Oryzias latipes: one gene and its partner. The protein of the gene in region 1 binds, or shares a complex with, the protein of each later gene. Links are inferred from orthologs where the notes say so. Each region holds a gene or a part of one and is shown on either strand. Other genes may lie near its edges.

Evidence for each region.
Region 2: trappc8 (region 1) and trappc12 share a complex: the UniProt entries of both Homo sapiens proteins name them as parts of the multisubunit TRAPP (transport protein particle) complex. The link is inferred for Oryzias latipes from reciprocal best matches to the Homo sapiens genes TRAPPC8 and TRAPPC12.

Annotation. Positions count from the first base shown.
Region 1 is NC_019862.2:1,523,627-1,528,944, reverse strand, and holds part of trappc8 (trafficking protein particle complex subunit 8), read right to left. Parts: intron 2,617-5,318; coding exon 2,463-2,616; intron 2,237-2,462; coding exon 2,167-2,236; intron 259-2,166; coding exon 8-258; intron 1-7. UniProt on the Homo sapiens protein: Plays a role in endoplasmic reticulum to Golgi apparatus trafficking at a very early stage. Maintains together with TBC1D14 the cycling pool of ATG9 required for initiation of autophagy. Involved in collagen secretion.
Region 2 is NC_019880.2:20,760,340-20,765,657, forward strand, and holds part of trappc12 (trafficking protein particle complex subunit 12), read left to right. Parts: intron 1-2,543; coding exon 2,544-2,660; intron 2,661-5,318. UniProt on the Homo sapiens protein: Component of the TRAPP complex, which is involved in endoplasmic reticulum to Golgi apparatus trafficking at a very early stage.

The DNA of each region.
Region 1 (5,318 bases):
CACCTACCTGGTCGTTGAGCTGTCTGATGTTCTTCTCGATGTGTGGTAGCAGACCCCTGAAGGTGAACTCCTGGACAAACTGCCTGATGCGGTCGTGGTCATTCAAAGTGAGGCATGATCCACGGCCCACTGCCACGGGCGCCACACCCTCCGTGTCTGTTCTCGCTTTCATCACGTCTGCATCGGTCAGACTTGTCGAACTGCTGTCTGCCTCAAGCTGCAGAGGATCGTTGTTCAGGCAGCCGGACTCGCCCCCCCCTTCAGAAACACACCAAAATGTTCTTACTCCACTATGACCATTTGTTAAAATATATACATTCACATGATAATAATGGATTAGATTTATCTGCGCTTTCCAGACGCAAAGCGCTTACAGTGTGTCCATCATTCATTCAGTCCTCCTTCATACTTAGTGATGGTAGCTACTGATGTAGCCAGACTGAAAAAGGCGTGGCTGCCAGTTCACGCCTACGGCCCCTCTGACCAGCACCAGGACATTCCTGCACATTCTTAGGGAAGCAGTACCCTTAAGGGTCTTGCCCAAGGGCCCTCACTGGTCGATGTTAATTGCTCACCATTAATATGGTAATTGCCCTATAACCATTGCTTGCTTGTTCATTGCCCCTGAGAATCGATCCCTGGATTCCTGTGTGCCACTCCTTCACCTTACAAACTGAGCTACGGAAGTTTAATTGATTCTAAGGTTTTTTAACCAAAATCCCACAACCTAAATGTCTTAAAGCCATACTTCATGATCATCTGAAGCATCTGTTTCCAAAATCTCCTCTACATGGGTGTGGCCATTGCTGCTGAGCTCCGCCCTCGATCCCCTCCTTTCTGCAAACTGTGTCTGGCATGAGTGAAGACTTTGACACCGGGGGGGGGGGGCACCAACGACACCGACTGACAGTCTCTATTCTCCAAAGCTTCTCCTTCGTGAATAGTGAAATTTTTGGTTCCAAATGGACACTTTTGAACAGAACGACAAAACGAATGTGTGAACCAGACATTTAATAAAATGACACCAAAAAGAACTTTGATAAACCTATGAAAAATGTTTTGAATGACAATAGAATTTAGGTTCCATTGCAGCAGCAACAGCACTGACTGTGGCTCAGGACCGATGTGATGCTAGCACATGCAGATCATCACATTTATTTGAGCAGCAAATAAAATGAAATGCCAGAAACAAAGTGACTATTCGCACCTGATTTTCCAAATACCTTTGTGCTTAGCGCTGAACCGGAGGAAGGGTTATGTTTAGGATTACGGGTTAGGGTTAAGCTGCGTTCACACCCAACGCGATTGGCGCAGCAGAGGCGGCCAGTTTCAGTGTTAGGTCAACGGTACGGACGCCATCTGAGCGATGGGGGCGGCACAAAGGTCTGGTAGCAGCGGGTTTGGTTCCCGTCTGAACAAAATCGCCCAACAGTAGCCGGGACGGGAACACCGATCCCGATCACTACGCCGGCTCCAGGGAGGCGACAGAGAGCCGCTGCAGGATGGGGAGCCAGCCTGCTCGGGTCTCCTGAACTTTAGGATATTTGTCTTATATTCATAAAAAAGATCCCCTGATTTTATTCTGGTTTTCATTTTTACCCTCTCTGGTTAATGCGGGACAGTAAGCCTTCAACCTCGGTCAGAGAGACACAAATGTGGAGAACACATTTGGAACTTGAACTTTCATTCTAAACACGTGCGTCAACAACAAAATCACACCTGAGTGTGTCCACACTGGATGGGCAGATCAGGAAGGTTGTGCAATATGCTCCTGGGCTGCTGTGACATCACATCTTTAACACAGTTTGATTGACAGCCATTTAAAAGGAGAAATACTCAAAAATGCAAAAATGAAATGTTTTTCTATCTGAACGCTTTCATAATGAAAATGCCACACGCAAAAGGCAAAACAATTAAAAAAAACAGGATTTTCATCAGAGGGGGACTTTAAATACACATTTGACTGACGTGTGTTTATACATGCACATATGGCTTTTGAGGCTAAAAACCACAAGTGTGCGCCCTCAGTCCACCGTGTGCTCATATGTGCACCACAGAAAATAGTGCATGAGAGCAGAGATAGAAACCAATCCCACAGGGATGTTTAGACAACTAAAATGAAATAATTCAGCTGATAAACACAATGCAACCCATCATTTGTCTCACTCGTTTGTGTGAAGGTCCCACCTTCTTCGTCACCCCCTTTCTCAGCAGCTGGAGCTCCATCAGCTGGGTCCTGAAACGCAGGAGGTGATGTTAACGCCTGGGCATGTCCATTGTTCTTCACTTTCAGATAAAAGGTAATTCAGCAGAAACGTTGACAGTCGTGAGGCTCTGCTCGGTCCCAGGTCCTCACGGTCGGCTGCATGTTGGACTGCAAGCATCGTTTAGGAACCAGACAGGCTCTGAATGCTGATCCTAGCTGAAGGTCTCAGTGAAAGCGAACCGATAACCAAGCTTACCTGGTAACGTAGGTTGTTCTTGTGCAGGTATTGACTCCAGGGATCTGGAATCTGTTCGTCCTCTTCAGCAGAGACGGCACGTGAGTTGATCTTAAGCAGGTAGCACCCTTGAGAGCCATACCTCTGCTTCATGTCCTCATAAACGGTCTCAGCCCTGAAATTAAGAACAAACCTGATCATTGTGAAGAACATGATCAGCCAGTGCTTTTTAACCTCAAAGGCAAGGCACCTTGAGACAGGAATATTATATTGGTGAGGGTCTGAGTCTGAGAGCTTCATTACTGAAACAGTGTGTGGGTTTCAGAGTGCAAAATGAAGTAAACAGCACTGGCATATGAAAACATTCAGATTTCTAAAAACAAAGGCTCCATGGCATCCTCTACCACACCTGCGTAAATGCAGGTGTGGTAGAGCTGCCCGATTTAAGGAAAACTCGCAATATTTGAAGTTTGATTCCCCATTTAAACAGGAGTTTGAAGAGAAACAGAATTTTAATTTCTATGTATGCAAAAACATTATAGAGATTGACAATAAAGTTTACTTTGACTTGACTAATAATGATCAATATTGTGATGACGATATAGCTAGCGATAAATGGACAAGTAGCAAAAACAACAAAAACGTTTCCATTTTACTGCAAAGTATAATTTAAATAAGGGTCAAAATACCTTAAATTATTCTCCAAATGAACTTCGTCTAATTAAGAGGGCAACATCTAACATAAAAGCTCCATCCGATTGGTCAACAACGTGAAAGGCTCAATCTGATTGGTTAAATGCATAAAGGGATTTATTCCACTCATTAAATAATTCAAGTTGCCATGGAGATGGTTTTAGCACAAGCGATAACGATACATTTGCGATTAATTGTGCAGGCCTAAGGTGTGGTGCTCTTCCCTAACCCCCCCCATTTATCACATGCACACATTCATAAGCAGCTTTGGTTCCTGAAACAGCAAACTAGGGGTTGACCCATAAACTGGCTGATATTTGGCATTTTGAGGAAACGCCGGTGTTGGGCATCCTCTATCACTAACTGTGGATCAAGAAGCAGTAAAGTGATCAATGACATCCTTATTAATGATCGTCTTTAAAAGAGAAGATGATGTTAAACATCACACAGCTATGGCCTCAATGACGCAGTTAGAAGAAAAGGTCCAGAGTAGGGGTCGACCGATGATCAGCCAGGCCGATTGGCGCTGGTTTTTGTTTTGTTGACGTATGTCGGCATCTAGCTTTTTTCAATCCAACAGGCTGATTTTGACGGGTTATTATGGCTCAGATGCAGCTCTCCGTCTCCAGCACCAAGGAACTCGCTGCACTTTAGTTTTGGTTTCATGTTTCCACAAAGAAAAGTCATTTAAATTAGGTTGAAGTTTGTATTTAACAAAGATGCTGCTGAGCCCGTTACTGCCTGCACCTATAGGAGCCATTTATTTACCTTTTTTATTCTTTTTTTTTTATAAATAAAGATAATTGTTGGTTATTGTATTATTCTAAATTTTTATGCTAATTTTTCCACTTTTACTGCAAACAAATATCAGCTCCAAATGTCGGTTATCGGCCTTCTTGACTACTAATGTCTGTATCGGCCCTGAAAAAACATATCTGTTGCTGTCTAGTCCTGATGACATCACAGCCAGGGGGGCAGAGCTCCTTCAGGCGGTAAAAGTCCTCAGCCTTCTGACACATTTCCATCAGAAACAATAAATCCAAGTCTTTGTTGATCAAGAGTTTATTCAGGAAGAGGGATTTATGGCAGATGGAGCGGATTGAACACAGCCCTCAAAGATCCACTGTATTACCAGCTGATGACATTTGGACTGACAGTAAACACCTGTTATGGTCATGTGATCATGCTGTCAGCCTCCGGATCCAAACAACGGTTGGTAGAAACTCTCATGAATGTACGCTTGAGGTGGAGGGAGGAAGTAGGGCTGCACAAAATGAGAACATCTTCTCACAAAAACACATCCACCTGTAAGGGCAGAGACTAATGCTTCACTGACGACTAGAGTACGGCGAAAGAGCATCTCAAGTACAATGTGTTTTCTGTTTTAGACGAGTCTCAAGGGAACTATAAGACACACCTATGCCCCCTTTAAGCTGAACCTTGAACCAGCCACTAGTCTCTATGACCCTCCATGGACCTGTTCAGGTGCATCATGGGACTATAGCTCAAAGTAGGATAAGCGGAATCACGTTCTTCATCCTGATGAGAGGGTTGTCAGAAATATTTTCTGCACAAAGGCAGTTTAGGATCACTCCTTAGTTTCTTATATCAATAATAACTTACTACTATGAGACAAACATTAAAATGTCAGTGTACAAATGTGTATCATCTCTGTGAAGTTGAGTAATAAGTAAAAACAAATGCTCTCTGATTCTGCAGTGGAAAACTTTACTGTGTTTCACAGTTCTACCGCGGAAAGAAAATGTGCAAACACATTGTTTTTTGTCATAGATGCACACATTCAGTTCAGTGTTAACACTTCAGTGCTATCGACCAGTTTTCAGCGCCGAAGGAAGATCCTTTTTCCACTGAGGAGGAAAAACCTCACTGCCGAGCGGTGGTCGCCGTGGATAACCAGTTTGTGGACGGACACCGAGGCTATGCTGATGGAGACCCACTTATCTAAATAGTCTGATCATCTCCTGTGCTGCTCACAATTTCCATTCATGTATTCTGCTAGTTACAACTCCAAACAAAGAGGAGTTGCTGTTTTAATCAATAAAAATATTACATCTACTCATAAGGATACAGTTACTGACCCAGAAGGCAGAAATGTAATTATTATCATATCAGTTTAGCACAATGACTTTTGCATAGCTAGTGTCTATGGCCCACATGTTGACG
Region 2 (5,318 bases), on another chromosome or scaffold:
GTAGGAAACTTGCCAAGTCCTTTTTTTTTTTTTTTTTTTCGACGACATGATCATAATTGTTTTTGTTTTTCTAGAATGGCTATTTTCATTAAAAAATCAATTCAGTGAATTTTACAAATCAAATGAGTTTTATTTGCTTTTTGGAAAATGTCTCTGCTTATTTTCATGGGGTATTTTCTGAGCCTTAATTGGTTAAAAAGCTTTGGATTCAAAGCTCTTGTCACCGGATCCCTTGATTGACACTCTACCATGTGGCTACTGATCTTTTTTATCACCTGTTCATGTGCAGACTGTGCAGTCAGACGGGGCTGAATGAGTTTAAAAAAATTTTCCATCCATCTATTTTCCAAAATTACAAAATTCTTTCAGGGTCACTGGGCTGCTGGAGCCTATCCCAGGTACTGTTGGACGAAGTCCAGTTCACTGGACTGGTCTTCAGTCTGTCACAGGGCAACACGACCACATACACAGACACACACACCCTCTTACTCACACCAATTTCAATGATCAATTAATCTATTGAGTACGTTTTTGGACTGTTGGAGAAAACCCACGCATGTACGTAGAGAACATGCAAACTCTACACAGAACTGTCCCAGCTGGGATTTGAACCATTGCCTTCTCACTGCTAACCACTATCCCACATGCAGCCTGTGACTTCAGTTCAGTTTTAAACTATTATTAAAGTTCTGTCGTTTGTGAATTACAGTTACTAAAGCAAACATAATATTCTAAATAGAATCCATCGTTGAAGATCCTCTGAAGTTTTTCAGCTTTCTTACTAACTCACAACAACAACAACCCTGTTGATGCTCTCTCCTTTCTTGTGTACCGGTAGTCTTTAAGGGCTCCTATGTACAGATCCGGACTCAGAAAGTGTTCATTGTAAAATCAGGATGCGATGAATGCTTACTGAAAAAACTGATAATAATAATAAAGTAGTCACCGAACTACTCCATTGACATTTAACTAATAACTCTATGAGATGTTTCAGTCTGGATTCCGTCCCAGTCACAGTACTAAGACTGCACTCACCAAAACCACCAACGACCTCCTCCTCACAGCGGACTCTGTATTACTCTCTCATCCTTCTCGACCTCAGCGCAGCATTTCATGCCATCTCCCACTCCATCCTGTTACGGAGACGGAAACTATTACTGGTTTCAATCCTACCTCGCTGGTAGTTTATACAACTTTCCTCTTCTCGGTCCCACCCCTCCCCTGTAACCTCTGGCATTCCCCAAGGCTCTGTCCTTGGCCCCCTTATTTTCATAATCTGCCTCCTACCTCTTGGATCTTCTGTGATTTCAATATCTAAGTCTACTGCTATGCCGACGACACTCGACTCTATTTATAAACCACACCAAACTCCACCCTCCACCCCCACGTGCCTCTTATCCTGAAATCCTGGGTCTCCTCCAATTCACTTGAACTCAATTGTAATAAAAACTAAGGTTATTCTAGTCTGCACAAAATTCATCCTCTCCAAGGTCAACAGCTTCACACTCACCATAAGTAAGTCATCAGTCCCCTCCTCCCCCCCAAGTGAAGAGCCTGACGTCATTTTGGCCAGCTCCCTCTCATTCCACGCCCACATCAACAACATCATCTGGACTGCATATTATCTTCTCAGAAACATCAACCGTCTTGGTCCCTCTCTCCCATCTTATGCTGCCTCCACCCTTGTCCATAGTCTCGTCACCAGCCTTATCGACTTTTTGTAACTCCCTGCTCTGTGGCCTCCCTCAAAAAACCCTTCACAAACTTCAGCTGCCCGAATCATCACTAGGACCCCCCCTGTCCACCCATATACTCCAGCAGCTGCACTGGCTGTCAGTCCACTCCAGAATCCTTGTCCAAATCCTCCTGCATGCTTTTAAAGCCAACCACGCCCCTTCACACCTGTCCAGCCTGATCCACATTGCCACACCACCCTGTAGTCCAAGATCCTCATATTGTCTTACTCTCTTCATCTGACGGCCCCCCTCCCTTGTCTCAGCACCATGGGGGGCAGAGCTTTAGGCTGTTTTGCCCCCAAACTTTGGAATTCACTACCTCCGCAATCAGAAACAGACTGTTTTTCCATTTTTCAATCAAAACTCAAAACCCATCTGTTCAAACGGTCAAACTCATCAGAATTTCACATCCCCACCTCTTTCTTAGTCCTTTTTTTATTCAATATTTATTTGTTTTGTTTTACTCACTTGTACAGTGTCCTTGAGAGTTCTGAAAGGCACTTTATATAGAATGTATTATTATTATTTTTAAAAACCAAGCATTCCCATGTTCTATTCCTCTAAATTCTGGAAAAGAAAAAAGCTGTCTTGATATCTATGCTAAGATTTACTCACTTTTCTGGGGATTTTTATTTCCTCTGGATTTTTTGTCTGCTGTGGAATTTTGTTGGCATTATTCCATTTCACCATATAATTTCTTTAATTATTGTGTAAAATGTGTCACTTTGGTTAACAGCAGTTGCTTGCTTTGAAATAACGATTTTGTGTTTCTTCAAAATGCTTTTGAAGCCATGTGTTTTGTTTCAGGTGGATGCTGTGAAGGACTTAATGCTTCGTTTCGTGGGCGAGCAAGCAGCAATGAAGCGTCAGGTCCTCACCGCCAGCTCTGTGGAGCAGTCCTTCAATGGCCTCAAACAGCTCGTTGTAAGGCTCCCTTTAGCTTTTTACCGATCTTACAATATTCACTCTTAAAATAACTATAGCTGGAGAAAAAAAGGTTCTTTCAAACAGGATATGTATATTTTGTATACAGTTACACTCCACTTAGTTTGCGTAAGAGCCTGTTTGCTTTTTATAATTGTTTTAAGTTACCTTAGCATTTAATCAAACTGTAAAATAAAAAAACTGCCCCAACATTTAGGGGGATTAACACATTGGTCAAAAAGCTTTGCCTCAAATTTTAGTGTAGGCTCAGACCAATGTTTTTCAGTGTTTTTTTGAGCCAAGGTAGACTTTTTCCTTGACAAAACTCAAAGCAGCAACAAAAAATGTTCCAAAAGAGAAACTCCGTATTCATGATGTACTAGTCCCTCCAGAATTTTGTGTGCAATTTTTGTTATAGTTGTGGTACAAAAAGCTTGAATTTGTGTTTGTTTTTCTTAGAAGTAGCAAAAAATCTCAGTTAGTAATTGTTTTTTTTATAGTTTTTTTTTTTTAACTTTACGTGAGTCGAGTAGTGGAATCGTTTCTGCGAAGCCTGTAGGTACCACAACCATTCGGCCTGCAACAACTGTTCGGGGTCTTTTGACTAATGCAGACGTCACATTATGTGATTGGCTGTCCGGTGGTCCGATGACGTGTCAGATAGTGATTGGACTGGACAAATTACGATACTACCATAGAAGAAGATATTATGCAGTCTGTTGTAAACAAACAGAGCTCCGAAATGGAGCGAGATTATCTTTTAAATGTGCTTTTATTATTGTTACGATTATTATTAAGTGCAGACGAACGGACTGCAGTCCGAACCCTCCTCCGGACCGCACTCTATAACAAAGCACCTTCTCTGCCTGCGAACACGAAGCTACGAGACTCCAGCTGCTCTGATCAGAGACATGGTGACGTGAAATGAAAACGTGTAGAACCCGAGCAGATCTCCACGCTACGTGGTTTCTCCAAGTGGGGCTACCGTAGTGTGACGTTATCCTTAGTCCAAAGGACCCCGAACGGTTATTGCAGGCCAAATGGTTATGGGACCTACAACGTATCCAGGCTTGCTTAATTTAGGGGAGGCGCCAAAAATGATGGCGTCTGAAGCTTTACGAAAGCCATGTGATTGATTCATGGAGTGGTTCACATTGTCCTGCGATTTTTCGCTGCGGCATGAATCCCTCAGGCGCCTTTCAAAATGTTAATGCAAAGTCAGTGAGAGTTAGGAGAAGAAACTGTGATATTTAAATAAAACCATTGTATCCCCTAAACAATAACCCCTAACCTTATCTCAGTGTTAAAAAAGCATAATCATTATCCACAGTGGTCCTTCATTTAGCGCAGGAGTTGCGTTCTAAAAATAACCCATGATAGACAATATCTGCAAATATTTCATCTTTAATTTTTTACTATTATTACAGACATTTTAAGGCTGTAAAACTCCTCACTACACACTTTATCCTCTTTTCTCAGACAGACATGAACATTTTCACACTTTTCTCTCAAAGTTCTAACCTTCAAGAAGTCCAGAAGACACGGCACGGATGAGATTGATTGACAAAATCTACAGCCAATCAGGATGCAGAACACAGGTTCTGTAAGAAAGAACAATTTTATATAGTGATATGACATTTGGTATCGAGGCTTCACAGCATGTGCCGAGTAGGGGAGAGGAAAGGGGGGGGTTTCATGATGTTGATGATTTCTGAAGCCTTGCTGCCCACTGTACCATGTGACTGATTCATGAACTGGTTCAGATTCTGCCGTGAGTTTTGACAACGATATGAATCCCTTCAGTCTTTGAGAAATAATGAAATAAAGCACTTAAGCACATTTATGCGCTCTCCTTCCCCCTGTGATACTGATTTGTCACACCTAGATGTCATAGGAAAAAATAGCCTTTTTTTTTCTTTTCTTTTTGTAATACAGGTTCGAGCCCCTTTTAGGGACCAACCCAGACTCACACACAACCCCCTTAATTTCCAAATGTTCCTTTGTGATTCAGTAAAAATACTTTATAAATTCACTTGTTTATTTATTTCAAACAATATAAATAAACACACACAAAGAAAATATTCGGCAGTGTACTCAACTCAACTCAACTTTATTTATATAGCACTTTCATACAACAGTAGTTGAGACAAAGTGCTGAACACAATAGTAAAAAACATTAAAACATGTTAAGGGGGGGGAAACACAGAGGGAGATAAAACTATAGAAAACAGTAAACAGTTAGAAAAACAGTGGTCTCATATTGGGCTAAAAGCCAAGGCATAAAAATGGGTTTTTAAACGGGTTTTAAAAATGGACAGTGAAGGGGCTTCTCTAATGGCCAGCGGCAAAGTATTCCACAGCTTTGGAGCGGCTACAGCAAAAGCTCTGTCCCCTCTGAGCTTCCGTCTGGACCTCGGTACCTCTAAAAGCATCTGATCAGCTGATCTGAGGCACCGTGCCGGCGAAAAGGGAGTGAGAAGCTCAGAGAGGTACAGCGGGGCAAGACCGTGTAAAGATTTAAAAACAAGCAGAAGAATCTTAAAATGAATTCTAAAATGCACAGGCAGCCAGTGAAGCGATGCTAGGATCGGCGTGATGTGGTCTCTCTTGCATGCTCCAACCATAAGACGAGCAGCTGCATTTTGAACACGTTGGAGA